Lonchura striata: one gene and its partners. The protein of the gene in region 3 purifies or fractionates together with the protein of the main gene of each other region. This does not show direct contact. Links are inferred from orthologs where the notes say so. Each region holds a gene or a part of one and is shown on either strand. Other genes may lie near its edges.

Region 1 (6,833 bases), on a different chromosome or scaffold from region 3:
ACTATCTGCTGCATGCTTCACAGTACCTTTTATAGTATATACAGCACAGGTTTTTCCAGGAACTAGGATATCTAAACTCACACTCCCAAATAATTAAGGATTTACTGTAAAAGCATACATGAACCACCTAAAGTGAACTAGAAATACTCCTAGGTCTCAATTTATACTGTAACAAGTTAATGAACATTATAAATGTTCATTAAACAAGTTAATAAATATTATATATATATATATATATTATAACTATTATAATATATTAAAATTAGTGTTATATTCATTAACTTAAACAAGTTAATGAATATTATAAATGCTGGAATCCTCCTGAGTTGAAATTTAAATCAGGAATGCTCCTAAGCACACTGATATTCTTAGTTCTGATCTTACATACATTACAGGAGGCTCACAGAAATTCTATCAAAATTATAATGGCATTGCACCTTTAGTTTCTATGACAATTGACAATTTTTCAAGTTATTTTAAATAACAGCCTAACTTAACACTTTTATTCTGATTGTAACTTTTAAGAAAACAGACTAACAAAATACATAAAGCAAAGGGAAGTGCTGCATTTCACAGTTAATATCCTTAAGAAATTATCAACTGACAATATTTTAATGGGCACATCTTACTGATATTAGGAGCAAATCTGCTCCTATCTAAACACATCACGGCAATTACAACACAGGGAGCATGAGAGACTTTGTGCATAAGAGCATTTCTACCATTGCTTTTACTCGAATTTCAGAAAAGGGGGGAGACAAAACTGAGTAAAAGAGAGAATATCTCGAAATTGTAATTCTACAGAGAAATTAGAGACAGAAATTAACTCAGATAAGAGAGGAAAGAAGAGCCTGGGATTTGAAGAGGATATAGAATTTAAGAAATTTCTCTCCTAATAAATCAAAATCCATCCATGTTTTGTAAAAAAGTTGAAGGCATTTTATCTCTGAAAAATGGGCTATTAATGCAAGAATCTGCACAATACAGCTATCTCCACTATCACCACAAATTTAATTTTCTCTCAATTTAAAAATTATTTCCTGAGAAGACAGAGAAAATTGCAACTTAAGGCTATTCCAGCCATTCACTAGCAGCAACTATAGACTCACAAAATCCAGCTCCAAACACTGCAACGTGTCACACTGTCTGCCCTGAACTTCAAAGCATTTTCTCCACATTTGGCTCTAGCTATGTTTGAAATGGCTGTACATGGGTATTACTTTTACCACTCAGTTATTGCTCCTGAAAGGGCAATGTACAAACACCAGTGTGCAGTGACTAATCACTAATACACATAGATACATAAACGACTTGTTGGATTTACTGAGTTAAATACTGTTATTTTCTATTAATTATGGATTTTATATTCAGAAGGCAAAAGTGGCTAATAATCAAGATCTCCTCCACCTTTTCTTCTGTCCTTTTCTTCCTCTTCAAGAGCCAATAATGCTTACCTATTTCATCATTCATCAAATATGGAACTCTTGGTCTGACAAGTTACATTCGGTATCATTGTTACAGCTATGTAGACACATTTTCTGATAGGTGTGGAGATGTATTGCATTACACAGGAACAGCAAACCCTCCTGGCCTACAGGCTACACCCCAAATTTCGGACACCTGAGTGCCACAAAATATGCACTGCCTGCCTCAGAAAACCTCAGAGAAGGGATTTTCAGGCCAGCTGAAAAGCAACAGTTCCCACTGCTTTACCTTTGCTACAGATTAGGATATCCAGAAAAACCAGAAGTCCTTTCTGGCTTGCTTCCTCCGTCCCACTGCCACAGCTGAACATACCTTTGCAAACCTACACCTTGACAACCTCAACTGTGTGTCACAAACGAAGCCACACTTGAATTGCATTGAGAGTCACTGGTTGACTATCAGCACCTTTAAACGTTTCCACATCACAGACAAATATGTCCCAATACAGAATATCCACATAATAATATCCCCTAATCCTTGCACGCATATACAAAATCAAAACATTTTTCTCTACAGCACTGTAAGACTTCCAGCATAGATAGGTCGAAGTCCCTCACAGCACCGTGTGTTTAACTACCACTAAATGAGTACAGTTCACTGCACACTTTTCTTACAACACACCTCTTCTCTCAAATTATTAGGCACTAACAACCTGGTAAAAGAGATTAATAATAAACCCTTAATTCATTTTTTATGACCAAATTACATACCAGATACAAATTCGGTTCCAAAGAACTAAAATACATGAGCACAATAGTTTAAATAGTTATCTAAAGCAATTTGCTAACATTTTCACCACTCAAACGCAGTCCTCCTCCAAATCTGCCCTCCCAGATCTCTCACTGAAAACTTTAAACAACTACGGTACCTAAATTTAAAAAAAAGCAATGCATAATCAAACGCAGCAGGGCCTGCATTTCTCGTTTTACCTACACTGGAAGGCACCCTCGTCAGTGGCACAGCGGCACAGCTACAGCGGAGCTCCGGGACAGGAGCACCCCGGCGCTGCCGGGGAGCGCTGCCCTTCACCCCGGCCGTTCAAGGCCCTGCCCGCCGGCCCCCGGCCGAGCTGGGGCTGCTGGGGCTGCTCGCCCGGCCCGGGAGGCCGCGGGCACTGCTGACCAGCGCCCGGCGGCAGCCCCGGACTCTCAGGCCGCCGGGGGCCCCGACAGCAATTCTGGCACCCGGAGATCCCCCAGCGCCACGGAGGAGGCGCGGGGAGCTCCCACCACGCTCCCTTCGGGTCCCACAGCCGTGCGGGGCCCCGCGGGCCGGGTGCCCGTGCCTCCCAGCGCGGGGAGAGGAGGGGCTGCCCCTCTCCCCTCCCTGCACCCCAGCTCCGCCGGGCCGGGCTCCCCCTCAGCGCCGCGCTGCGCGCTCACCCGCGTCCCGGCCGCCGCTCCCGCTGCGCTCGCTGTCCCCGCCCGCCCGCCCGCAGCCGCCCCGGCGCCGCCGACGCACCAACATGGCTGATGGGAGAGTCCGCGCCACGTCAAGGGCAGAGAGCGGGGGCGGGCTGAGCTCCGCCGCCCGCCCGCCCCCGGCACAGCCCGCCGGCCGCCCCGGCCTGCCCGGCCCGGGCAGCGCGGCCGGCGTCAGCCGCCCCGCGGCTCCGACCGTGGCTCCGCCGCCTTGGCAGCTCCTGCTCGCGTGTGTGTGTTGGCCACCCTGTTCGGCTGTCTTCTGAAGGTCGGTCGTGTGCATCCCGATCAGCGGGGGCAGTTTGGCCGTCTCTCCCTGCGGCAGTGCCGCGGCCCCGGGGCTGCCGGCGGCCCCGCCGGTGGCTGCGCTGCTCTGTGCGGGGCTGCTCCGTCCGGCACGAACTCCGGGATCGAAACAGCCGGGCTTATTCCCATCTTCCACCATGACTACTTATGGCAACTTCTTAATCTGGAAGATTGTTTAGATGTTTCTTCTGAGTGCCTGGGGAAAAAACAAAATGAAGTTATATTCCTGGGGGTTTAAACCTGAAACAATCCTTTATCTTGTTAGTGTGGTCAGCTTTTTTATCCACAAACTGAAGTTAACAGATAACTCTTCAGTTTTAGGAATTGTTTTTCACAAGGCTGTCATGAAAGGCCAGAACAATAACTTCTGTCTTTCCTGAGATGTCGTAGTGCAATTAATCCAGACATGGGGGAGGACTGGAAAACATTCTGCTGACTGGCTACCATATCCTGCCTCCTTCATTGCAACTCGGAAAATATTCTGTGACCATCAAGCAAATACAAATTACTAAAACAACTTTACCCTCTTTTTTTATATGTCAGATGTGATTATGATAGAATTTCTTTGCCATTGCTCTCTCCAGTATGGTTTACCAGTCCTCTTCAGACTAAAAACATGAACAGTTAAGCAACAGCAGAATTTATGGGAGGGATTTTTAATTTTCTTGTTCACAAATCTCACTGCCATTTGTGGGAGTATTAAGCAAGAGCTTGCCAATGACATGTAACATCCTCACCCTGAACTCAAAAGAAAAAAAGAAAAAAACAGACCAACCCCCAAACCCTACCACACTTCAAACAGATGCACAGCAAATTACTCAGTGTTGTAATTTCAAAAGTATTCAAATAACTTGTGAAACATTTTCAGAAAATTCCCCAAAAAAGAGGCAAGTCCTGAAGTCTAAAATGCAGGATGAACTCTATAAATAAGAGAAAAAGAGGCATCTGACATTTAAAGACACTCAAAGGGCAAGAAGGGAAAACAGCAAAGTATACTACTCTGAAAGTTTACTACAAATAAAATATATTCAGTATTTTAAATTAATCTTCAGTACAATTAAATTTCATTACATAATAACTCAGTCCAATGCTCTAAACTTAAAGTCATGCAGCTGTTATGACGCTGCTAACCACAGAGAAAATCAAGGAGAAAGAAAAGTAGAAAATAGATATAAACTCATTTATTCATTATAAGAAAATATTTTGCTAGCTCTCCATATTCATATCTAGAATGTAGATTTGAAAACATTTTAATTTTTCATAATGCAGAATTTATATGTTACTTTGTTTTGGTTTGGTTTTTTAGCCAATGAGGCATATCCATTAATGCAACCTTTCTTGGGGAAGGCACTCTTCCTTAATGCCTAAGCAGGTGAGAAGAAATATATACATTTCCAATTTCATTTTCCTCTTTCTCCACTGAGTCATATTTGCTAGCCATTGCATCAGCATTGTTGGTAAGAAATACTATCTGCAATAATTAAAAATATGTTGCTTTGCTTAACAAGTATCAATGGAAAGTTGAATAAAAAGTGATCTAAAGATAGGAAGTATATTTGAAGCGTATATCTGTGGATTCGCTTGATTCTATGAAGTTCGTAGTTCTGGACTTTACAACAAATAGGAAAAATAAGTTCTGAATATTACTAAAGTATTATAAAAGAACTTTATATAGCTGGACTCACCAAAGTTTTTGTCTTGATCATCAGCCTTTCCAGAGTTATCACTGTAGGTTTAAGTAGGCAAGTTTTATTTCTAGTGGTGACTGCAATTGTTGCATACTCAACTAAGACGTTAGATCCGGGTTTCAGGAAAAAAAATCTCCCTGGTACACGTAGGTGCTTTTGGAAACAATTTAAAACAAACAAAAGCCATTGGAGAGGAGGAGTTAAGGCAGATGTTTATTTAGAACTACTGAAATACAGGCTTGCAGGGGGTTAAAAAGAAAACGTTGTTTTTTTTTTTTTAACTTATGTCAGAAGTATCTCAAACTACTCTGAAATATTAAATCTAACACTGCAGAACTAATTGAAGAGATAATATACTGATGGACATTTGTGTAACAGGAATTTCATAATACACAATGTAAATGATTACAGCATCACCCTTTCACTTTTTGTCTCACCTGGGAAACAATGCCCCTTTGTGCAGATGTGAGAAACTGCATTGACTTGTTTGTTCATCAAAAGTATGAAATTAGGATAAAAGGGGGGGAAGTCGGGACATGGAATTTGCAGGCTTGACTGGTAACCACAAAGATTGTGAAAGATTTTGCAGGACTGGCTGGAACTGATAACCGCAGTGGAAACCCATTGTTGCTGAAAACTGATAAACCGAAGTGGAAGAAGACACACCACCCCACTTGTAAAATCCATTGTTTTTGGGACTGATAACCACGGTGGAACGAGACTCATCACCCCCACTCATGCAAGATAAAAAGGGACTGAAGAGAAGGAAAGGTTGTCAGCTTTTGGCGGAGCCAGGCTCCCAGCTGAACCCAGCGCTGTTTTGCTTGCTATCGCTTGCTGTAATTAATAAAATTATTAATTGATCTTAAAAGGCTGAATCAAATTATTCGCCTCAACTTATAACACAGATGCTACCTTGCTTTCTGACATGTGGATGCTTTCACATTGTAGTCTTCAGAAAAATTCATACAGCAACAGCTCAGGCATTGATCCTTCCAGAATGGGAACTCTGTAAATTTAAAATCATTAACTTCTATATAACTGACTTTAACCACAGATCTCAAAGCATTTCAAGAAAGGGACAAATATTACGAATACTGGGTTTTCACAAGTAAAATAAGAGCGTACTAACGGGTGAGCTTTAAAGAATTTTTGGCAAAAACTACAGCATATTAGAATAATGTCACAGCGGCTAATGAAGGAAGCTATTAAAGGTTTACGCCTCTTCACCACAAAAATAGGCGTAGTTTGATGGGCAGTGGATTGGCAACCCCTCTTCTGCCGCTGCTCTTCGGCCATGCTTGTTGTGCTCCCCGGCGGGAGGACAACCGCCCGGACAACCACGACGCCGGGCGCGGGGCGCGCCCAGCGGCGCCGGGCCGAGGCGCGCGCCGCGCGGCAGCGCCGCTCTCGCGAGAGCCGCGCGGGGCCATGGAGCCGGGCCTGGAGGAGCTGATGCCGCGGCTGCTGCCCGTGGGCGACTGCGACCTGGCCGAGGACTTCGATCCCACCGTGCCTCCCAGGACGCCCCAGGAGTATCTGAAGCGCGTCCAGTGAGTGGCGGGGCGGTGGGGCCGGGCCCGGGCCCGTCGCCTCTCCGCGAGTGTGGCGGGGCAGCCGGTGCTGCCCGGGCCGGGCTTCGGGCGCGCCAGGGCGGCCGCGCCGTGCTGCCCTCGCCGGCACAGCCGGTGCTTTCACACCGGTGTTTAAACACCTGCTTTAAAACGGGCGGGCACCGATCTCTTCCTTGTCGTGACCGGCGACACGATTCCAGGAAACGACATGAAGCCGTGTCAAGGGAGGTTTGGGCTGGCTATCAGGAAAAGGTTTTTCACCCAGAGGGTGGCTGAGCACTGAACAGCTCATGACAGAGTTCGGGAAACATTTGGACAGCGCCGTCGGGCACAGGGTGTGATTTCTGGGCTGTCGTGTG
Region 2 (7,921 bases), on a different chromosome or scaffold from region 3:
TTTTGTTTCAAAAATCTAAATGAGCAAGTCTTAAATATATCATAAATATATCACCTTATAGAGGTGTTGGAATATCACTCACTCGGGTGCAAAAGCAAGCAGACACCCCAAAATTAGATAACGTGTATGGGACAGGCAGATAGAGAGCAGTTAATCAAGAAAACCTAAGAAAAGGGTTCCTTTTCCTCATTCCTTTCTATTAGAACACCAAATAAAATGGATATTTCTCAAGGCACAGCGCCTTCCTGAGCACTCATCTTAGTTAACATTTCAGACCATTGTTATTGTGACACGCCTAATATGAGTGATAAAAACATCACGTGGTGTTGAATCTTCCTATGTTTTATAAACTAGAGTGTAGTTTAAGAAAAGATATCTTCTGTAATAAAGTTATCTACATGCAAAGTTGTAGTTTGCAAAAATGATGTATTTTTTTTGGTTAACTGATTTGCAATAAATGATGCTTCTGGGCATCTAGATTTTACTAAAACTGGAACTTGGTGTTTCTGTTACGGGTCAGTTGAATTCTGGATTTCAGAGCTGCTTCTTGCACAGAGGACTGGAGCTTCCTCACCATCTTGTTCTCTGTGTAAAAAAAAAAAAATCAGAGAAGAGCTTTGGACAATGAAAATTTCTCTTTAATTTCTGCTAAACTCTCACTGATTTGAGATACCTGAGCAAGGTTCTGCCCATTTAGCTCTTCACCTGCTTTGGTATCCTCAGGCCATCGAGTCAAGATCTAAAAGGGGAAACATGGAAAAATTGTTTTAAAGAATGTCCCTCATGCATCTCCAAAAAACCCAGGAACAGCAGCACCAGAGGGAGAGTTTTACTTGCGTCACTCTGGGCACAAACACCACCCAGAAATGTTTGCTGTCCTTGCTGTGCTCAAGATTTTTAAGGTAATTTCATTTCATTTCATTTCATTCTTTCTCTACCCCACAGGGACTCTGCAGTGCAAATGCAGCTGCAAAGTCCCCAGATAACTGGATATAAATAGTGGAGCTGTTGCCCTCCTCCCAAATCACATAAGCCTGGAATGCTGGTATTTTCCACTCGGTGGCTGGGGAGGGAGAGGGTTTGTGTGTGTGTCCATCCCCAGATAGATCCAGGGCCACCAAACACCTGCTGTACAACTGGTGCTGTAACAGTGGCGTTTTATTTGATTTTCTATTTTATTTTATTGTATTTTATTTCACAGCAGTGAAATGCATCTTCAGAGGTCAGGGATGTGCCATTATTCCAGGAAAGAGAGCCTCAAACTCCATGGAAAGGAGTGTTTTAAGGGAGAACAAAACCTGTCTTCCACCTGAGAAACGTGGATTCAACACCCAGAGGGACATCCTGGAGGGAGCTGGGCTTCCCAGGGATGTGTCACCCCCTTCCTGTGCCTGCATCCCATCTGGAATGCACCAAATGGAGTTTGTCTGCCTCCAGCGTGACTCACACATGAGCTGCTCAGGAATCCCACACTGCCCAGCCTTCCAGGCTTCTCCCACACATTCCCACCCCAAAACCAGCCCAGCACGGCCCCGCTGCTGCCAGTGGGGCTGGGACATCCCAAAGTGAGGAGGCCTTAGAAGGATCCTCTCTGCCTCATCCAGAGTGAAACTGAGGCACTCGTGGGCAAGGCAGAAATTTGGCCTGGAATAGATGAAAAAAAAAAAAAAATGTTTATGAGGACATGGAAAACAATGTGACATTGCAAGAGGCAGCACATGTGGGCTCGTTTAACAAGAGGGGATGCAAAGCAGGGGATTTTCCATATCAGAGGGACAGGATGAGGAAAGAGGGGGGCTAAATACCATGGAAAGAAGCAAAGGGATGGATATTAATTAATTGTCCACAAGGTAATTCAAACTAGAAATCAGCAAAGGTTTTTAAGGAGTAGGAGAGAAAGGATGCAAAAATTTAGGTTTTAAGTGCTTAGCCCCAAATTACTTTGCTTTATGAAGGCATCTGGTGACCAACCAACCTGTGGGTACATGAGATGATTGTGGTGTCACAGATCCAGCTGGGATGGAGGCTAAATTAAAGGAGAAACAAGAGAAATGGCCCCAGTTTCAAACTCTCCTGTCACACTTAAGGCTTCTTCCCACACCAACCAACCCACGCTGCCCCACCACAAGCTCACCTTCGCCTCGTGCAGGTGAAGATTTTTGGGAGCTGAATTTGAAGCTCTCCCAGCACCAGAAGATGCCAAGGAGTGACTGGATCATGGCAAGCACGGCTGTCTCAGCATTCCAGGTGAAAAAGGCACCAAAATCACATCCTGCTCCGAGGGAAGGGTGCCGGAAAACAAGATTAGCACCGGCTATTGCCATGGCAGGTATGTTGGTGCTCTGAGGAATCCCTGCACCTGAACTATTTGTTTACCTGCTGGAGGGCTTGTTTTTTTGTTGGGTTTTTTTTTTTTTTTTTCATTCTTTGTTTTCATTATTCCTGCTCAATTAGATGGGACATTTAGAAACTGCTACTCTGTATTGCTTCTCCCTCCAGGCTGTCGGTGTTTGCTCGCAGCTGCTCCAGCCCTGATTGAGGAATTGTTGCTGAAGCTGAAATCAGCCCCTGAAGAATGTGCAAAAGGAGCCAAATTCATCTCGGGCTTAAAATCAAACAGGGGTTAATGTGGCTGGGGTAGTCTGAATAATCACAGCAACTGGATGAGTAAATAAATAAGACTCAGGTTGTCCAGTTGGCTATCATGGTGCAGAATGCTAGTAAGGGATAGAGATACTCTCCTTTAGCCTTTATCCACGTTTCTAAACTCAAAGAATGATCCTTTTCATAGCAAGCCCGTGGGGCAAGGTCGTGTTTCTGGTTGTGTGCAACCTGAAGACTGAATAAATTACCAGAAAAAGGTCAGAATTGTTTGTGTTGTATCCCAGGTGAGCTGAGGAACAGAGCAGCTGTGGCTGCCCTGGATCCCTGGAAGTGTCCAAGGCCAGGCTGGACGGGGCTTGGAGCACCCTGGGATGGTGAAAGGTGTCCTTGCCCTGGCAGGGGGTGGAATTTGATGATTTTTAGGGTCATTCCCAAACCATTCTGCGATTCTGTGAAGCAGAAGAGAAGGACACACGCTGTCCTCACTGGCAGGGATTTTCATTTATAATGGGTCACTCAAGTCCAGAACTACTGCTGAGTACAGCAAACCAGCTAGAAAACATCAGGTTAAAAAGGGATTGCATGCTTTAATGTAGAAATTCTTTATAATCACGTGTTTATCAGGAGAACAGCAAAGGTGAGATCCATTGTTGGTGTTTGCATCATGTCCCCCTATATAAGGGGGTTAAACATGTAACATAAATATCTAACTATAGACACAGATGTCAGCTATTGATGCTATTTAGCACACAAAAAGCCAATCGAGCTAATTAAAATCATGTTTCCTCAGATTACACCTGTTGGGGGAAATATCAAGGGAGAAGCAGGGCTTCATCTGCAACTCCTGCCTGCGCAGGGAAATGGTGTTTGACAAGCTGGTTTTTAAGAATGTTCCTACAAAAGAGGGAGATGAAAGGCACTTAAAAATCACAGCGCTGCCTCTGGTTCCCACACCAGCATCAAAGGCTGCTTCCCCTGCTTGGCCAGGGCTTTGAGGATATTTCTCTGCTTTAATGATCCAGCATGCAGGAACAGCTCTGCACTGATAGTGACCCTTGATTAAGATGTTTGTTTAGGTTGCTCGTGTTTTCCTCTCCAAGGCTTGTTGTTGGGTGCAGGGTGTGACAGTGTCCGTGCTGGTGGGTGACAGGCATTCTTCTGGTGGCTGGAACGGGGGTTCACCCCCCTAAAAAAGCTTCGTGTTTGTGTAAAATGGAGCTGCAACTCGCAGGGCCACGAAGCTGGTGCAGGGTCCGGAGCACCCAGAGAGGCTGGGGGGGCTCAGCCTGGAGAAAAGGAGGCTCAGGAGGGAATGTTTTGCGTTGCTTCTGCGCTTTTGATTCCCAAAGAGCTGTTTTTATGGAGTCACAGACTTGTGTGGGTTGGAAGGGACTTTCAAGATCATCTCCTTGCGCCCTGTCCATCACCTCATCCTCCCTGACGGGAGGATGGACACAAGGGACAGGGTGAAAGGACACGGCCTCCAGTTGTGCCAGGGGAGGCTTAAATTGGCTATTTGGGAAAATTTCATGGCAGAAAGGGTGGCTAAACCTTAGAACTGTGCTGGAATCATCATCCCTGGAGCGTTCAAAAGGGCACACGGATGTGGCACTTGGGGACGGGGTTTAGTGGTGAACACGGTAATCTTGGAGGGATTTTTCAGCCTTAAGGATTCTGGAATTAGTTTCTGATCCTGTTTTTGGACACGTGCATCCCAGTTAATTTGCCTTTCCTAATTAGGCCCCCACGGACGTGCAGGACAGGACCTCGCTGTGCAGCGAGTCACAGCTCAGCTCCGCGAGGCATCCTCATTTCCGTGGGCACGGATTCCTCCTCTCGGGGAGCCCCTGAGCCTCCCCCGCCCCGGCCCGCGATGGGCAGCGGCTCCCGCGGGGCCGGCACCGCACCGGCGGAGCTCTGTCCCGCCCTGGCGGCCGCCCGCGACACTGCACCCGCACCGGGCAGCGCAGGGCACCGCGACCCCCGCACCGCACCGCGCTCCGCCACTCCCCGGCGGCACAGGGGAGGCGCCGCGAACGGGACTCGAACCCGCGACCTTGCATCCCGCAGCCGCTCCAGCCGGGACTCGAACCTGTGATCCTACATCCCGCAGCCGCCCCGGCCGGGACTCGAACCCGCGGCCGCACGGCAGCGCCGCCGCCGGGTGCGCGCGCCGCGGTGGCGTCACGGCGCCGTGACACGTCGGCGGCGGCGGCGGAACCCCGAGGCGGATGTGCCAAGATGGCGGCGGCCGGCGCTGGGGCCGCGCGGGGCGGCGGCGCCCGCTGCTGAGGGGCCTCGGCCGGCGGCGGCTGCCAGGTACCGCGGGGCGCTGCCGGAGAGGAAGGACGCGGGTGGGCTGCAGCGGCGTCAGGCTCGAGGCGCGGTGCCCGCCCCGCCGGGCCTCGGGGCTGTCGCAGCGCACGGAGCCGGCGGGTCCCGCCGCTCCCGGGCCCGGCTGGGGCGGGCCGTGCTGCCGCAGCCGGGGGTTTTCCCGCAGGGTTTGGGGTTCCTTGGGCGGTCCTTGTGGCTCTGCGGGGCTCCGGAGGTTGTTCCGGGGGAGCGGCGGGGGAGGGTTCCGAGGGATGCTGGCTGTGGCTGTCCCCGCTGGCAGCGCTGCTGCCGGGGCAGGGTTGTTTGGGTTGTTTTTTGCGAGCTGCCAGGTGCCCCAGGTGGGTGCAACTGGTGCTGACTCAGGAGTGCGGCTGCCGGAGAGCCTCGGCACCTGCTGGGCTGAGAACCGGTGACTGGATCCTTTTAGAATAAACCGGAATGCTTTCTGCTGCCTCTGTGCTTTTGGTTCCCAGTGAGCTGTTCTGATGGAGCCACGGACTGGTTTGCTTTGGAGGGACCTTAAAAATCATCAAATTCCACCCCCTGCCATGGGCAGGGACACCTTCCACTGTCCCAGGCTGCTCCAAGCCCTGTCCAGTCTGGCCTGGGACACTTCCAGGGATCCAGGCGCAGCCACAGCTGCTCTGGGCATCCCCACCCTCACAGGGAAGGATTTTTTTCCTGATACCTCAGTAAACCTGCCCTGTGCCTGTTTAAAGCCATTCCCCTTGTCCTGTCGCTACATTTTAACATACATAACATATATGTTAGACGACATACATATATAGGATAACATTTATAACTCTGGTTGCTGTTGAGGAAAAGCCTGGTAGGAATCTGTCAGGAGAGTGAGTGATGTAGAATGTGTTCAATCTGTCACCCACATGTGTGCAGATGTGCGGCTGCCTACGTAAGATAAAACTGAAAAAGTAGTTGCTGATTTTAAAGCTGCAAATCTCATTTTTCCAGATGTTCTGTATTTGAGATTGCACTGGGTTGTTGGGGTTTTTTTGGTTTTTTTTTTTTTTTTTTATTTGGTTGGTTTTTTTGTAGTTGTTATTGGTGGTTTTTTTAGTCATTTTGTTTTTAGGAATCTGTGTATGTGAACACGTTATTTATTGTTTGCTTCACTTGTGAGGATGAGAGTTAATATTTGTCCTCTGTAACCTGCTTTATGGCCGTAGTTATTCTGTTCAAGAGTAATTTATTTAGATAGGTTTTAATTAGTTGCCCCCAGAGGAATTATTTACTTATAGATGAAGCTATAGAGCTCATTGGGTGAACTTAATTTTATGGCCTCATCTAAAGGGTTTTAATCCTTTTTCCCTTTTTGGCAATGTTATTTTGGTACACTGGAAACGCCTTCTGCACTCCTGGTGACTCATGTTTAGCAGGCTACTCTGCTTTATCAATTAATAAACCAGCTGAAAGTTAAGAATTTCCAAACTCTACAAAGCAGAGGTGGATTGCTCTTAACTTGTGTAGTTATTTCTAAATTCCTTAAAATCAGCATTTTTGTTAATCCTGGATGAGGCACAGGAGGGTCAGTAGCACTGAGTTATCTTCTGTTTAAATTACTCGACATGGGCACATTCATTTTATTTGGACTCAGTTCCTCAAATCTTGCTTGCTTTTACTACTGTGTGCAATCTGTTAATATTAACTTTGCTTCTGAGGAAGCTGATCTCTCATACTGAACCTCTGTCATGCACCATCAAAGATCCTGTTAGAGGAATGGCAAGTTCTGCCTAAAAGTAGGACTTTACACTTATTTTAATTAGCTAATTACTGGTGCTGGCTGTTACAAAAATATGGTAAATTATTAAGATTTTTTTTTAATATGACGCTGCAAGGGGTAAAGTCCACATTAGACACGTGGAAGTGGGTATTTAAGTTGGCTTTTGTGCTCAGCTGTATTTCAGAAACAACTTTTCTATGAAAAACAGAGCTATTTATTAGATACCAATATTTTGGTCAGTGCAGTTTGTGCTTTCCAGGTCATACAAGCCTTGGCAGATGGTTTAATTAGCTTTTTTCCTCCCCAGCCCAAAGTATGTTGTATAAACACATGCTTTTATTTGGAGGGGAGAGAGGGGTTTTTGAAATCTGGTTAATACAACAAAGAACATGATGAAAAAGAAATGGGGATGCCCAGAAGAGCATGTGGAAATTGGGGTGGGGGTTTAGGCAGGACTTCCTGGAAACGTGGCTGGCAGCAAGGCTGGTAAGCACGGCCAGCTGGAAAACCTTCACCTCAGGATTGTAACAGGAGAAAAGATTGCAAAGTCCTGAAACTCTTTGTAAGCATTCCTTGATGGAATTCAGCAGCTGTGCTTCAGAAAGAACGGTGGTCACATGCAAGTAACGTGTGAAACTGATGGAGCTCTAATGCCTCTGTTGAAATCTGTTTGGTATCCTTCCCATCTTAATAAAACACAAATTTATGGAGTCTTAACTCTAGATATGGCTGTGGAATGTATGGATATGGGGGAGAAATTGAGAGTCTCTGTTTGAAAGAGGGACCTGGATTCTACACAAGGCTGTTGGAGACATTTTTCTTTAGGAAGAGTTGTTCTGATGTCCAGTAAAGGCTGTGTGCTGCGGTACTTCAGTGTGCTTTTTATTGGAATATTTTAGGTATAAATCTTTATGAAATACGTGTAGTATTTTTGATAACAAGAAACCAGAAGTGCTTTGCATTTGAACTTCTCTATAACTGTTACAGTTTTGTCCTGATTACAAACATCTGACTTTTCTGGCTGCCCATTTTATTACTCTTACTGACAAGATGCTGAATCTTAGAAGAACTCCAAATGAGAATTGCACAGCTTTTTTCTTTTATAAGCAGAAGAGCATCTGGTGTGGAGCAATTGCTGTGGGTACTTCACTCTGCATATTATAAACAATGTTTGTTGTGTGCTATGAGAAAACAAGATTATCATATGCTGATAAGGCTTCACTGAGCTCCACTGGCTAAGTATTG
Region 3 (7,401 bases):
AAACAGAAGTCCCACATTTTTTTCCAGCTGATGCATGTATACTTAGAACCAAGGCCATTTCTTACCAGGTAGCTTTCAGCAGTGTATTTAACAATAATGCCCAATAAACAGGCATTGCCAGTGCTGTTTAGTGAACTTCATCATATTTCCACTTTACATTTCACATTTTAGTGACTAAAACATATACCTTCCTACTCTGGATGAACTGAAACTATTCTTGGTTCTGGATGTTTCACATAATTTCATCACATTTCAGTACTTATCTACTCATGTCTCTGAGGCATCACCTCGGTGTTATCTGCAGCTCTGGGAACTCTGAGCTGCTCCAAAGGACCAGACTCACCGTGTGTGCATTGCTGATCTTTTTGACTTCCCACTGCCCATCACCCGTGTAGCTCAACAAGGAAATGGCCCCATCAGAGCTCCCACAGGCCAGGATCAGTCCATAGTCGTGTGGTGCCCAGCAGACAGAATTCACTGGGAAGGGCGAGACAGACCAGATTACAGCACAGCGACTACCTAAAGCTGACTGACCAATTCACTGACTGGTATCAGTGGCACGGTCACCAAAAGCAAGTGGCTTTGAAAGCTGAGAATGAGTCAAATTTCAGCAGAAGCCAGCCAATTAGCATTGTTTACTGAGTAACAGATCTGCATTGGGAGGGTAAATCATCTGAACACAACATTTTCAATTTTAAAACAAAATACAGCACGGTTAAATAGTTTTTCTAACTGTAAACTATATTTTCCTCAAGAATTCAGTTCCGTGACATCTTTATTTGAAAGCTGACTTATTTGTGTACCAACACTTATGGACACATGGTATGAATCAGTAGTGGGTTATCCAGCAATACAACCCTAGGGAAATGTCTTGTTAGCGCTGAACAGATTTACTCTCTCTTCAGTTTTTATCCTTTTCCTTTTGACACAGACTTTCTTACTTAACAGTAACAGATTTATATCAGTCTTACCCAAATCCCCTCATCTCCTCATTTTTCCTTCCCAGCTCCACACTCCAGCCCTCCATACCTGAAGAATCATGTCCCGTGTACTCGTAGGTCTTTTCCCAAGTGCCATTTTCTTCCTTCCAGATGATAACCTTCCTGTCATAGGAACAGGAAGCCAAGATATTCCCATACATAGGATGAGCCCAGGCAACCTGCCACACGGGACCTTCGTGCCTGCAAGAAACAACATCATTAGGAAAAGCTGAGAGAAACCCCTTGCATCTGCAGCTGCCTCACAGATCACCGTTGTGAAGTGCTGTGCTGGGAGGGATTAGAGCTCTGACATGAGGAATGAGTAATGCCAAGATGGCAATGTTAGTGTCCCAGCACAGGGCTCTCACTGCCACAGAAAACAATTCCAACTTGTAGCAGTATATTACTTCTTGAAAATCACATGTGCACAGTACTAAATGAATGATCAAGCCCCACTGTGCTTCCCACTGGGGCTCTGTCCCCACCCCAGCTCTGAGAAGCTCCTCAGCAGTCTTGGAGGAGTTCACCCTGCATGCAAGTCAACCTGCACTCTGTGCTGCCCAAGGGCAGAAGGGCAAAGCACCAGGCAAAGCACCAAGATTTTGCCCCAGTTAACCTCTCCTGGTGTGACATCTCACCCCCTCAGGTCCGCAATGAGGATCTGCCCCCCGTTGCGGACATCGAAGATCTTCACGGATCGGTCAGAGGAGCAGGTCGCCAGGCGCGTGCCGTAGTAATCCATCTGTGCATCGTGCTGCAAGGAGAGCGGGAGGGCTGTGCTCAGCACGGCACGGCCACTGACTGCTGCAGCACAGCCACCCCAGGCCCTGCACACCAGGTCAGAGGAACGGTTCTAAACAACCCACGCATGCCCAACTAGCTTCCCCAGCTGCTTCCTCAATCACTACACAAAAGTTACACAGGAGTCCAGGGAATTCTGAGCAACAACCACAGCATTTTCATGACAGGGAATAGAGGCTGCTGACTACGAAGAGGTGAGCAGTTATGTATTTCTGTTTCTTAAAATGTCAAGTGGGTGTACAAATACTGCTCTTAATTATATTTGAAACTTCACCATCACTGAACCACAGAATCTTTAAGGCTGGAAAAGTCGTTCAAGGTTACTGACTACAACCTTTGACCAAAGGTTATCTCTTGTCACTATGCAGAACACTGCATACAACAACCAGTCATTTCCTGAACACCTTCAGGGATGGTGACTACATCACCTCCCTGGGCAGCCTTGTTCAATGCTTAATAGCCTTTTCTGTGAAGAAATTCTTCCTGAAGAACTAGGCTCACCTAACTGGGCTCCTACCTTCAACAAATTACTTTGAAGCGTTTCTGCCTACCCACAATAATACATCTATTCCCAGATACATCCACTTAAAGGAAAACCATTATTATCCACCAAAGGTCTGTACCAGAAAATATACTATTACTTCACAGAAACGGGCAGAAACAAGCCTTAATTTTCACATGAACATTAAGATTTAAAATAATTTTCCCTTTTCCTCCCAGCAAAGTTTTCCTCTCCACGCAGTATAAAACGGCAAGATCAGGATTTCACACCGCATTCTGCATCCAGGACCCCACAAGTGCGCTCTTACAGCACATACGTGCGGCCCCGAGTGCTCGCAGAGAGCCCCAGAGCAGCTCTGCCACAGCAGCCGCCGGCCCGGGCGGCGCAGCTCCCGGCACACTTACGATCATGTCCTCGTGGGACGTGTCCACGGTGTTAATGACCGACACCTGCGGGGAGAAGGAACACAACGAGCTCAGCGCGGCCGCGGCCCCTGCGGCCCCGGTCCATCCCCGGCCGCCCCGCCGGGTCCGGCGTACCCTGTGCCGTGCCCGGTGCCCCGCGAGGCCGCACCCGGCTGCGCTCGGGCCCGCACCGGGACCCGCCCGCCCCCCCCGCCTCACCATGGCTGCTCCCGCCCGGCTGCTCCGGCCCCGCCGCTCCCGGCCCCGGCGCTCCCGGCCCGGCCTCCGCCCGCGCGCTCAGACGTGGCACGCCGGTCCCGCGCACTACCGGCCCCGCCGCGCCCCGCCCGCCTGCGACGGCGTTCCGCTCGTGCCGGGTTCCGGGGCGGCCGCTGCCTCGGCTGGGCCAGGAGAGGGCGAGGGGGGAGCGGGACTGCCCTGTCCTGCCGCGAGGACCAGAGGCACCGCCGGCCGCGGACAGAGCCTCTGTCGGCCCCCGGGCGCTGCCCCGTCCTGCGCCGGCCGCGGACAGAGCCTCTGTCGGCCCCAGGGCCGCCCGGCCCGGCTCCTCCCGCCGGCTCGGGGCCGCCCGGCGCGGAGCGGAGCGGCCGCGACTCGGGCCCGCAGAGCCTCCGCCATGGCCAGCGTCTCCTACCACATCTCCAGCCTGCTGGAGAAGATGACCTCCACCGACAAGGACTTCAGGTGTGGCACCGCGGGACGGGCCCTGCGGGCGGCAGCCACCTGCGGACACCTCGGGGCCCTGGGAGGAGGGGGCTGCCCAGAGCGGGGTCCTGCCGCGGCAGCAGCGCTGTGCGGGAGCTCGCAGCGCTGTTGTTTACGGGGCATCAAGCCCACTGTGTCCTGGCTCAGGGGGCATGGCCAGCGCCGCTCCCCTCCCTTGCCTAGACTGGTGCTTGGTCAAAGGGGAAGGGGGAATAAGTCCGGGCAGCTGGACTCCAAATTGTTATTTGTTTTGTGAATAAAGAACATCGTAGCAGAAATGCTTCTAGTTTCTTTTGATAATTGGTGAGATAGTCAGTGCATTAAAAGGGGTGAGTAGACCCCCATGACCCTGCGTGATAGATGCTGCACATACTGTCTCTGCTCAGGCTGCTTGGAGAACTTTCTTTGTGATGGGAAAATGTGCCTTCCTAACAGAACTGAGATACTTTTATTTCGTTGTTTATGTCAGCAGAAAAGTTGACATCTTTTTAGGGTTAGGCAGATGGCTCGATATGTAAGGCACTCTATCAAAAAGTAATTAAAACTGACATGTATGAAAGATTTCATTCCTTAGCATATTGTTCTCCCAGTATCAAACTGGAAGGTAATATTTGGGCCAGACTTGGTATTTTGAGGTCTAAGAAAGGGGCTACTAATAGCCTAAAAGTAGGTTGATTTTTGTAGAAGCTGCTGATGTTCTCAGATGTTAAAATAGGTACTTTATAAAGAAGTCAGTGATGGAGCAGTTGTACAAACAGTTTTGTTCAAAGAAAGTTACCACTCCAAGTGAGATGTGCCCGACCCCAGGCACGTCATGTCCCAGAGGTACTGCAGGGCCACTTCCTCCCAGCACATGGCTAAACATGACCTGTTATAGGGCCAGGCTTCTCTTGTTGCCCCTCAGGGATGGGTCTGCTGGTGAGATCCCAAGCTCCTGGGGCAGGATGGCAGCAGGCAGCCAGGCCAAAGCGGGATGTGTTGCCGCGGAAGGCTCTGTTCAGCCTGTGGCCATAATTGGTCATGCTGGTTCCACACAGACGCTGAACTGCAGAGTGCGGCTGAAGAGCTCTCGCAGAATCACAAATAGACTGCACGTTAACATCCTAGGGCACATTACTGCTGTTTTCTCAGGCTGGATTCTGGGCTGGCTGGGGAACAGCACAGCAGTCCCTCGTTCAGGTGTGCCTCACTGCTGCTCAGGAACGGGCTTGCAGGTTGAAGCCTCAAATGATGACCTGTACATGAGAGCTCTTATGTGCTGAATGAGTGACATCAAAGCCTAATTTAAAAAGGAGCTGTCATTTTGTAACAAGAGAGGACTTCCTGGTTCCTGTCAGACGTCCATTCTGTGTGGGGCTAACATTGGAAAGCAGCTAACACACGATAGCCACACTGAGATTTCTTAGAACCTCAGAGTTCTATAACAGCACCTTCTGCACTTCCTGCTCCTGGAAAAAGAGATACTTTCCAGAGCTTCTCAATATCCATTCTGTTCCTGTTAGAAAACTGTCAATTTGGTCTTTGTTTTTCTTTCTAATCTGGAATGGTAGTTACTTGACTGGTTTTGCTCACAGCAATCTAAATGTAGCCTAGTGCACTTCTGAGGTGTAGTTTGCTTGAAGTCATGACTTTCTTTTTTCATTTTTGAAAGTGATAGGGCTTGACCATGTCTGGGGTCATACTACCAGTGCTAAGTTAGACAGAAAGAACAGAGCTAGGTGAATTCTTAGTCCCCAGACTGCTTTTCCTAGGCCAGGTGAAAAACTGGTTAAAAAACCAATCATGATTTTTTTTTCTGGCATAGTTAACCATCTTCATTTAGTCGCTGAGAAAAATACACATGCTACATGCCACTTTTAGAGTTTTTGTTTACCTGACCCCTGTTAGTGTTATCTACTTGTTATCTAGTGTTATGTTGTAAGTGTTATCTACTTGTAAAATAGTATTAATTTTCCTTTTTCTTAGGACAGTGTTGTAAGTTACTCTTTGGTAGTGTGTTTTCAACTAGTGTTTTAGCACTAGTTGCCAAATTCTGTCCAGGTGATGCAAAGGTGATGCATTTGTGTCTGCACATCAGCCAATCCACTTTCTCCTTGTGTTCTTTCAGGTTTATGGCCACCAATGACCTGATGATGGAACTGCAGAAAGACTCAATAAAACTAGATGAAGACAGTGAGAAAAAAGTTGTGAAAATGCTTTTGAAATTGCTGGAGGACAAAAATGGGGAAGTACAGAACCTTGCTGTCAAATGGTAAGAGCCTAGGCAGTAATAGTTATGTTCCCTGGCATTAATAAAATCATCACAGACTGCAGAGAGTGTGAGAGCGGAGCCTGGCCCTTGACACCTCCCTCAAACCTCCTTTGCAAGGGACTTTGCTTCTCTGTTGTAGGCACTGCACTTTCTCCCCTTGTAGGCACTCACAAGGGTGAGCACACAGATACCTTTGTAGCAGCAAGAGATGATTTTAGAAGTACTTCAGTGTTCCTGTTACAAACCTTACCATGTGGAAGGTGGAGCCCTAGGATTTTATTTCTTCAGGCAGAAGCATACTTCAAAATTTTGCTCATCAACCTCTTGACCTCTCTCAGGCTTTGAAATCCAGTGCTGATTTTCTCTGTAGATCTGTCTTTGATAGCAATGGTACTAAACATAGTAGGCTTTAACTTCAGGTCCAAATCCTTCTCTTCAAAGGAGTTTTTATTGAACTTTATAGTGCACTTGGATTTTTCCCTGCCTTGACTCTTGAGAGCAGCCGGTGCTGTTGCTTTGCCTGTGACCATTCCCATATTTTTTTAATCCAAGTGAACAAAAGTAGCAGGTTCCTCTATTAGTGAATCCTCTGATAAAGGGATCCTGCTGCTGACATGTTCTTTCCCATCTCTTTCCCTAGCATGGCTAAGTGGGCGTGTTCAGTCTAGAAATGCCATTGAATGGCTCAGTTCACCCCAGGACTCCAGAAAGGTGTACCATTTAAAGACAACTTTGGGTTCCTCTGTTTTTTCCTGCTGTGGATCCTATTAGTATTCCTTTCTTTTCAACCACGTGCTGTTTCTATCCCTGTTCTTTCCCTGATATCTTTGGTCCTTTCTTTTTGATTCCAACTGTCCTGACTTCTTTTGGCCCTGCTCCTGTATCTCCTGTATCTGCTTTGGGTTGGTTTATTCTGGGTTTTAAAGCAAAACCATTGGGCACTGAGCAGAGGACCAACTTCTCAACTTCTTTGCGTGGTTATCTCTGGTTGTATTTGCAGTAAGTCCATACTCATTGCAGTCTCTTATCCATCCAGAGTGTGATAATGAGGAGGCCTCAAAATGGAACCAGGAATATTTCCTTTCCGTGCCTAAGGAGGTGCTTAGAGCGAAATGTCAGTCATTCCCAGATAGGTGGCCAGGATCTTTAAGAAGGAGCAGTGTGATGGTTTGAAGGATGAGGACAGTTGGACACTTCATCCTGAGTGGCTTCTCCTCCTGCAGCCTGGGCCCGCTGGTTGGCAAAGTGAAGGAGTACCAGGTGGAGACCATCGTGGACACACTCTGCACGAACATGCTGTCGGACAAGGAACAGCTGCGAGACATCTCCAGCATCGGCCTCAAAACAGTTATTTCTGAGCTGCCACCAGCTGCCACAGGTACACTGTCTGTTCCCATTTGTCACCGAGGGACGGGCAGTCCCAGCCTTTGGCAAATGGGGTGAAATGTAGAGTCCAGAGCCTAAAAGTTACCGATTCTTTACTCACCTGTCAGAGGACAATCTGCGAAATCAGGGGAGGGACAGTAGAGCTGAGGTACCAATGGGATGAAAGACAGAATTAAATGAAAACTTGAGCTGTGTTTGGAACTATGTATCATAAAAATGCATAAGCTTTTCAGGGGATACCTGAGGCTCCCAGCAACAGGATTTTCCTCTGCAGCCATCTCATCTGTCCTGATTAGATCTCCCAGTGATGATTTCTATTTTCAGTGTACAAGGGATTGAATGGTTCCTAGC
Region 4 (7,766 bases), on a different chromosome or scaffold from region 3:
CTTGGCAGTAGCCTTTGAGTGCCTCTGGTCGGTGGAGGATTATCTTCCAGAGGATGAATGTTCTCAAGAATATATTCCCAAATCTGGTGGTAGCTTTTGTTAGTTTTGACATAAGAGACTTAAAGTCAACCCAATTCCAACATTTCTTCCTCTGCCTTCCCGGAACCATTCTTCTCCCACAGCACCACAATTCTGCATGCCCTGAAAGAACTGAGAATGGGACAAAACTCTCGGAGGATAAAAACTCTCGTGGGATAAAACTCTCAGAGAAAAAGGAAACTTCTAATAACAGAAACTTCAACAGAAAACATTTTCTCTCTGAATGAACAATAAAAGACATCAGTCTTGTGTCTAGAAGTACATGAGCCTCCAAAAAACTTTTTATAACTAAAGTATTTCAAATATTTTTTTTTTTTAATCAATGAGAATTGTTTGTAATGGTCCTGCCTGTACTCACGCCAAAGCTCTCCTTGCTATCTCATGGGCACATCTGATCTGTGTCTCCAGAGTTCTTGCACACTTCCACTCCTTGAACACCACAGTGCAGTGCGAGTCACATGGGCTCCGTGAGGTCCTGAAGGTGGCTTGGATGCAACCTCAGCTCTTCCAAAATCCATCTATCTGTTCCCTGAAATCCTTGTTCCTCCCTGTGGCAGACTCACACTCGTCCAAGCCATACCAAACCATACCACCTTCCCAAGTGCACAGCTGTGGGAGAACAACCCTCCCCAGGTTACTCTGCTGGGCAATGACAGCTCCAAGCACTGTTATCCCTGTGAGCTGCAGACAAGGGAGCAAGGGAGGAGTGAGAGGGATTCCAACCATGATCCACACAAACAGCAAATGCAAAACACCTGAAACTGGGCATCTGGGCTCTGCACTGCTGTTCCCAAGTAAAAGAGTCTGACTTGTCTTTCTAAGAGAAAGAGTGAGTACATCTGAGAGAAGGAGGGCTGGGGCACAGCCAGAGCAGCTGTGCTTCCTGGGGATCACATCTAAGTATTCTTAACCTACAGGACCTGCAGGCACAAACTCACATTTGCAGAAAACCAGGTTTGCTTGGCAGTGTGACAGCAGGTTCCCCAGCCTGGCTTGTGGAGGAGACACTGAGCCAGGACACACTGCAGCCTTGGAGAGCCAAGACTGTTCCCACAAATGCTGGGAACTGTGTCCCTGATGTCCCAGCACAGGGCTGGCAGAACACCTGAGTCACCAGGGAGTGCCATGTTTGGGTCAGAGCACTCTGCAGGAAGTCCTGGGGCACAAGAGCTGGCCTGACCAGCTCTGCTGCAGGTGAGATTCAGTACCATCCACCCCAAAAGTCATGGAACACAGACTTCAAAAGCCATTCCTCCACATCCCAACTGCCTCTTCAAATAGGCACAGCACAGGTGGCTCCTCCACTCACTAGGCTGGCCCTGTTCCAGTGGCAGGAGGTGTCTAAGTCCAAGCCAGTCTGAGGGAAAAACCCCAAAGGAAGCTACAGATGAAGTTCTCCCAAGTTTCTCCCTTGCACCACACCAGCTGGGACCTTTCTATGCAATCCCAGAGGACACTCCAAGGACCAGACAGGTCCTATCAATCAAGCCAAGGAACTTGGCTGTGGACATTAACCCAGACCCAAAGTGCAACTTAAATCAGAGGCCTAGAGAGCTGGTCCCACCCCACTCAGAGCAGAGCCAACACCAACATCCCATCAGGCTGCTCAGGGCCTTGTCCAGGTACATGGAAATGCCTTTGGAGCATGGTGTGTTTGTATAGAGTGTTCTAGACAGCATCACCACTGTGGGGTTGAAATGCATTCCCACAAATGGGATTACATGTTCCTTTTCAAAGCCCCTGCTCTACTTACTTGCTTATTCTGAAAGAATATTGCTGCAGTGAATTTATTTGTACATTATTTCTGAGCCCTACGATGCACCTTGCTCTTGCTTGCACAAATATGATAATTTCTCTATTTAGTTCTTTTTTCCTATATTAAAAATATGTATTTAAAAGGATAAATAATATATGCAGAACATTAATATAGAGAGCAATGCAATATATGTCACCATTCAAATAAGATTTTGTACCTAATTAACAAACATACAGTAAATTATGGTGTGCTTTTCATCCTTTGAGATATAAAGTTTAATTTCAATACGCAATTTTTACAGTGGCTGCCTTAATTTTCCTCAGTTTTATTTTCTTGAAAAAAATAATCAAGTTATAGATAGAACACCTGATCTGGAAAGGACCCACAAGAATCATGGAGTCCAACACCTGGCCCTGCACAGACACCCAACAATCCCACGCTGGGCACCCCTGGCAGCGCTGTCCAAACCCTCCTGCAGCTCTGGCAGCCTCGGTGCCCATTCCCTGGGCAGCCTGGGCAGTGCCAGCACCTCTGGGGGCAGGACCTTTCCCTGATCTCCATCTAACCCTCCCTGGCCCAGCTCCAGCTGTTCCCTGGGGTCCTGTCCCTGTCACAGGGAGCAGAGATCGGAGCTGCCCCTCCTGAGGAGCTGCAGCCCCAGTGGGGTCTGACCTCAGGCTCCAGGGTGAACAGACCAAGTGCCCTCAGCCGCTCCTCGTGTGGCCCCTCCAGACCCCTCCCTATTTCTGTGTCCCTCTTTTGGACACTCCAATAACTTCAGATCCTTCTTATATTGTGGTGCCCAAAACTGTCCCCCAGACTTGAGGTGAGGCTGCACCCCTACAAATGGTGGGGGAGCCACTGATTGTTCCCATTTGATACTATCTGGGATTTCATCTGTAGCCTTGGACAATCAGCACCAGGTGGACACAGAGGCTGACAGCTGGGAAATGAGGTGCACAGAGAGCACTAAGCAGGCAAGTGCTGCCTCTTTCCTCTGTTCTTCCAGGCTGTATCTCCCATGCATGAGTCTGCTCTCACACTCTGGTCACACATCCCTCCTGGCTTAGAGCTCCCAGAGGAGCAGATGATGATGCAGTCTCACACACATACTGGTACCTGCCTCCAGCACAATTTCTGCTTGAGTTGTATCTAGAGAATGAAGTGCTGCTGACTCAAAAATCCCCCCTGGTAGAGCATCTGCCAGCTCTGAAGGTAGTGGTAAACTGCCCTCCTTGCCAAACACTGGATTCTCATCTCCACCTGCTGGGTCTTGCCAATCATTTGCTTCTTTAGCATGTCTGAGGTCAAACAAATCCTCCAAACTCTCACTCCATGTACAGCCTTCAAACAGAGTGACCCTGGTTCTTGGAGGAGGAAGCTTTTGAATTAATGATCAGCCTGCAGTCCAGGATAATATCTCAACCTTGATGTACAGGTTTCTTAAGTCATACTCTGTTCTACATTTAGCTGGGAATTTATCTCAGGTTGTTGACAATGACTCTGCACCTGACTGTATGGATTCAGGTTTTAAAATTCATCCCCAAGCAGGCTTGGAAGCAAGCTCGAGGGCAGGAGGGGAGCGGAGGCGGCTCAGGGCTGTCAGCTGGAGGCGATCTGCTGGAGATGTTGAGTTGCATGTGTGGGAAGAGCTCAAAAATAGTATGAATTTTAAAATCCTGGATTCTAAAGCAGGCTCCTGGTGCCTGGCTCACAGCTTGGCTCCCGCAGCCCTGGCAGAGCCAGTTCCAGGGGTTCACCCGGCAGGAGCAGCACCAGGGGAAGGAGCAGCTCACACCATGCCCAGAGCTCTGTGAGGGCTCTGCCTCCAGAGCCCTGCGGCAGCGAACCGAGAACCATGGAATCACAGGATCATTAAGGTCGAAAAAGCCCTCTAAGATCACATAGTCCAACCACTCCCCAGAATTGCCATATTCACCGTAAAACCATGTCCCCAGGGGCCACATCCACACATATTTTAAACACTTTCAGGCGTGGTGATTCCACCATTCCATGCCGACTGTCCTGGGCAGCCTGTGCCAGGGCCTGATCAGCCCTTCAGGGAAGAACTTTTCCCCAGTATCCAACCTGAACCTCCTCTGGCCCAGCCTGAGGCCGTTCCCTCTCCTCCTGTCTCTGTTCCCTGTTGCACAGCCCAACCCCCCGGCTGTCCCCTCCTGTCAGGAGCTGTGCAGAGCCACAGGGTCCCCCTGAGCCTCCTTTTCTCCAGGCTGAGCCCCTTCCCAGCTCCCTCAGGGATTCTCCAGCCCCTTCCCAGCTCCCTCAGGGATTCTCCGGCCCCGTCCCAGCTCCCTCAGGGATTCTCCAGCCCTGTCCAGGCTCCCTCAGGGATTCTCCAGCCCGGCCCCAGCTCCCTCAGGGATTCTCCAGCCCTGTCCCAGCTTCCTCAGGGATTCTCCAGCCCTGTCCAGGCTCCCTCAGGGATTCTCTAACCCGGCCCCAGCTCCCTCAGGGATTCTCCAGCCCGGTCCCAGCTCCCTCAGGGATTCTCCAGCCCCTTCCCAGCTCCCTCAGGAACTCTCCAGCCCTGTCCCAGCTCCCTCAGGGATTCTCCAGCCCCTTCCCAGCTCCCTCAGGGATTCTCCAGTCCTGTCCCAGCTCCCTCAGGAACTCTCCAGCCCTGTCCCAGCTCCCTCAGGGATTCTCCAGCCCAGTCCTGTCCCAGCTCCCTCAGGAACTCTCCAGCCCCTTCCCAGCTCCCTCAGGGATTCTCCGGCCCCTTCCCAGCTCCCTCAGGGATTCTCCAGCCCGGCCCCTCAGGCTCTCCGCGCTGCAGGTCCCGCGGGGGCCGCTGGGGGGTGCTGCGGGGCCCGCCCCGGGCTCGTTGCTCGGCAACCGCCCGGCACCCAGGGGCGGGGCGCTCCGCGCGCGGCGCGATGACGCAATCAGAGCGCGCGGCAAGGGGAGAGGGAAGGGCGGGGGGAGGCGAGGTGTGCGGGCCAGGACCTCTCCCCGCGGCGGTGAGTGCGGCCGGGCCGGGCGGGGCGGGGCCGGGCCGAGCCGAGCCGAGCTGGGCCGAGCCGGGCCGGGCCGGGCCGGGCGGGGCGGGTGTCGCCGGGGCGGCCGCGCCGCGGGGTCGCGGTGGGCGGGGGCGCCGGGCGGGGCGGGCGCTGAGGGCGGCGCGGCGCAGCGCCCCCTGGCGGCGGCGGGCGCCGTGCCATGTGGCCGTGCTGGCTGTGCCCGCAGGTGCCGCGCGCCATGGCCCCCCCCAAGGACATCATGACCAACTCCCACGCCAAGTCCATCCTCAACGCCATGAACGCCCTGCGTAAGAGCAACACGCTCTGCGACGTCACCCTCCGCGTGGAGCACAAGGACTTCCCGGCCCACCGCATCGTCCTGGCCGCCTGCAGCGACTACTTCTGCGCCATGTTCACCAGCGAGGTCGGTGCTGCCGCCGGCCCTGGGTGCTCCGTGGGTGGAGGAGGCAGGGCCGCCCAGTCCTTGGGCTGTTCTCTGTTGAGCTGCTCAGCAGCTGGGCCAGCATCCCCCCGTGGGGGCCCAGGATCCCCTTGTGGTGATCCTGGATGCTGGAGTCCACTGGATACTCCCGGTGGTTGCTCAGGATGCCCCCGTTGTAGTTCTTGATCCTTTCATGGTGGCTGTGGGTGCTTCAGGAATCCCTATGGTGGCCCTGGATTACTCCATGGTGGTCCTTGGTCACTGTGAATCTCTCCATGCTGGCCCTGTAGCCCTCTGGGTTCTGTCTTGGTGGTCCTGGAGCCTTTCGAGGTGATTCTGTGTCTTCTTATGGTGGCCCCAGAGCCGTTTATTGTGACCTGGTGGGGAGTTAAGAGGTTGTGGCAGGAACTCTGGCCTTGATTCACCGTCTGCAGCGACCACCCTGTGCCCAGCGAGCTGCCAGGCTGAGCTGCCAAGCCAGAGAGTTGTGATACATTTACTTATTTTTCTAGTGGTGCTTTGTGGTTTCCGTGGTTGCGGGCATCTTTCCTGGCCTGGCACAGAGCTGTGGGAGCCGTGCTGGGGATTCTGGGCAACCCTTTCAGTGCAAGGGAGGGTGTTTGATGCATGCTCTGGGCTGCCCTTGGCACTGGCGGAGAGCTGGGCTGTGCTGCTCTCCTGCCATGGGGGTGGCTCTGAGCCCCAGGTGCTGCACCCAGCACATCTCACCTGTGAGCACCCTGGCTCTCAGCCCTTCCTGTGAAACTTGCACTACCTGTGTGCAGTTTCCCTGAGTCACTGACAGGCACTGCTTCAGCTGCAGCTGGCACTCTGTTAAATGTCAGATGCTTTGCCTGGCTTTGTCTTTATAAGTTGTAGTCAATATTACCAGCTTTCTGTTATGGAAGATGCTTTCCTTATCCTACTACCTTCCCCGTGAGCAGGGAGAAACATTGTTAAGTAGCTCACAGGTCCTAAAGCCCTCCCTGCTAGCTGAAGAATCATTGCAGCAGAGAATTATTTTTCTCTTTGTTTCACCCAGGCACAAAGGCTGTGGCAGAGCTCTCTGTGTGCCCACTTATCTCAGTGCTGTCAGGACAGCAGGTGTTTGAAGTCCTGTCTAAAGAAACCAAAATGATGCATGTGTAGCCTGACCTCAGACCAATACCTTTTTTTGTCCATATCTTCATGAAATTTGTAAATTCATCAGGTTTGTGCTCTTTCTCTGCATAAAGGAAATGTAATTAGATGATGAAAACACACAAAGCACATTCAATCCCTAGTGGCTGAAGTTCTCTGTTCTCCAGTAGCTCTAGGTGCTCAGCAGTACAGCAGAGTATCTCTGCTTCTCTAGGTTTGCCTCCATGTTCCTGTCAGTGCTTTTGACTTCTGGACTTCGTGTGCAGAGATCCCATCACTCCGTGTGCTCCAGAAGGTTCTTTGTGGCTGCTAACAAAGGCTGGGGGTTGGTGTGCTTTGGGTCTGAGCTGAGATGTCTCTCCTTGCTTCGTTACACTCGTGTTAGCTGTAACATCATAGTGACCTTCATTCAGACTTGAGAATCTTCCTAGGAAATTAAATTCTTCCTGGGAAAGTAGCTGTGCTCAGTAGGCAAAATTGCTTGTTCTCTCGTGCTCCCACAATGCCTCTGCTTTAAGGGTTTCTTTTCTTTTGCTTGGTTTGTGTTTCTTCCAAACTTGTGTCTTTGTTATGGAAACCCTAAAGTGACCAACCTGCCAAGGGGTACACAACTAGGGGCCAGGAAGGGGCAGCTTGGTAAGCCTCAGAGTGGACATGTTTCCTGTGTGTGTCAGCAACAAGTGTGTCGGGGCCTGTGATGGGACTGCTTGGACACTCTCCAGGCACTTGTGGGTGCAGGGTTTGGCCAGACTGGACTCCAGGGAGCTCAGAGTCTGTGTGGTGTCATGGATTGACAGGCCCTGCCAGGGCTTTCTCAGCTCTCCATTGCTTGCCTCCTGCAGGTCTGGGGACTGCTTGGCTGCTCTGATGTGCCAGGCTGGGCTGCATGAGGCTTTGTTCAGAATTGATTTTGGGTTTATGTCATGGCATCCCTGGCATTTTATCCTGGGGTTATGCCACAGTATTCCTGGTGTCACATCTGTGCATAGCCAGTACAGCACTGAGACTGTCAGCAGATACTGTTGTCATAAAGAACTGCCTTTGCCTCTCTGTGTCTCAAGTTTCCTTCCTTCTCTCACTTCTGACTTTTAACATTTTAAAATAAGTTCTCAGTCTAGCTTAGTATTAATTTCTTCCCATTTTATGTTCCTTCCTGTTTTACAGCATGAGAAGAAGCCACTGACCACCTGATGAACCCCAGGTTTCTTAGAGCACTTTCCTTTGCCCCTGTGCTAAGCAGTGTGGGAAAAGTGAAACACCATCAGTTTTACCTGCAGGCTTGTTCCTTGTAGTGAAAATTGCAGAGCAGTTTTATCACCCCTGGATCTTGGCTGTGCACTGGTATTTG

What was found.
Region 1: the proteins of SEC13 (region 3) and SEC23A fractionate together in Homo sapiens (co-fractionation; 3 studies listed by BioGRID and IntAct, with this or other methods). This does not show direct contact. The link is inferred for Lonchura striata from reciprocal best matches to the Homo sapiens genes SEC13 and SEC23A.
Region 2: the proteins of SEC13 (region 3) and SEC16A purify together in Homo sapiens (co-immunoprecipitation; 4 studies listed by BioGRID and IntAct, counting the BioPlex papers as one, with this or other methods). This does not show direct contact. The link is inferred for Lonchura striata from reciprocal best matches to the Homo sapiens genes SEC13 and SEC16A.
Region 4: the proteins of SEC13 (region 3) and KLHL12 purify together in Homo sapiens (affinity purification with mass spectrometry; 3 studies listed by BioGRID and IntAct, with this or other methods). This does not show direct contact. The link is inferred for Lonchura striata from reciprocal best matches to the Homo sapiens genes SEC13 and KLHL12.

The regions. Positions count from the first base shown.
Region 1 is NC_134608.1:23,826,328-23,833,160, reverse strand, and holds the start of SEC23A (protein transport protein Sec23A), read right to left. Parts: upstream 3,010-6,833; 5' UTR 2,947-3,009; intron 2,905-2,946; exon of another isoform or gene 2,868-2,904; intron 2,530-2,867; exon of another isoform or gene 2,415-2,529; intron 1-2,414. Other genes in the region: GEMIN2 (gem-associated protein 2), read left to right, coding at 6,332-6,453.
Region 2 is NC_134624.1:8,862,067-8,869,987, forward strand, and holds the start of SEC16A (protein transport protein Sec16A), read left to right. Parts: upstream 1-4,905; 5' UTR 4,906-4,923; intron 4,924-7,921. UniProt on the Homo sapiens protein: Acts as a molecular scaffold that plays a key role in the organization of the endoplasmic reticulum exit sites (ERES), also known as transitional endoplasmic reticulum (tER).
Region 3 is NC_134614.1:23,854,998-23,862,398, forward strand, and holds the start of SEC13 (protein SEC13 homolog), read right to left. Parts: upstream 3,006-7,401; 5' UTR 2,910-3,005; coding exon 2,907-2,909; intron 2,733-2,906; coding exon 2,688-2,732; intron 1,735-2,687; coding exon 1,619-1,734; intron 1,182-1,618; coding exon 1,030-1,181; intron 478-1,029; coding exon 344-477; intron 1-343. Other genes in the region: cullin-associated NEDD8-dissociated protein 1, read left to right, coding at 3,325-3,392, 5,521-5,664, 6,888-7,042. UniProt on the Homo sapiens protein: Functions as a component of the nuclear pore complex (NPC) and the COPII coat. At the endoplasmic reticulum, SEC13 is involved in the biogenesis of COPII-coated vesicles.
Region 4 is NC_134632.1:520,401-528,166, reverse strand, and holds the start of KLHL12 (kelch-like protein 12), read left to right. Parts: upstream 1-4,752; coding exon 4,753-4,836; intron 4,837-5,062; coding exon 5,063-5,260; intron 5,261-7,766. UniProt on the Homo sapiens protein: Substrate-specific adapter of a BCR (BTB-CUL3-RBX1) E3 ubiquitin ligase complex that acts as a negative regulator of Wnt signaling pathway and ER-Golgi transport.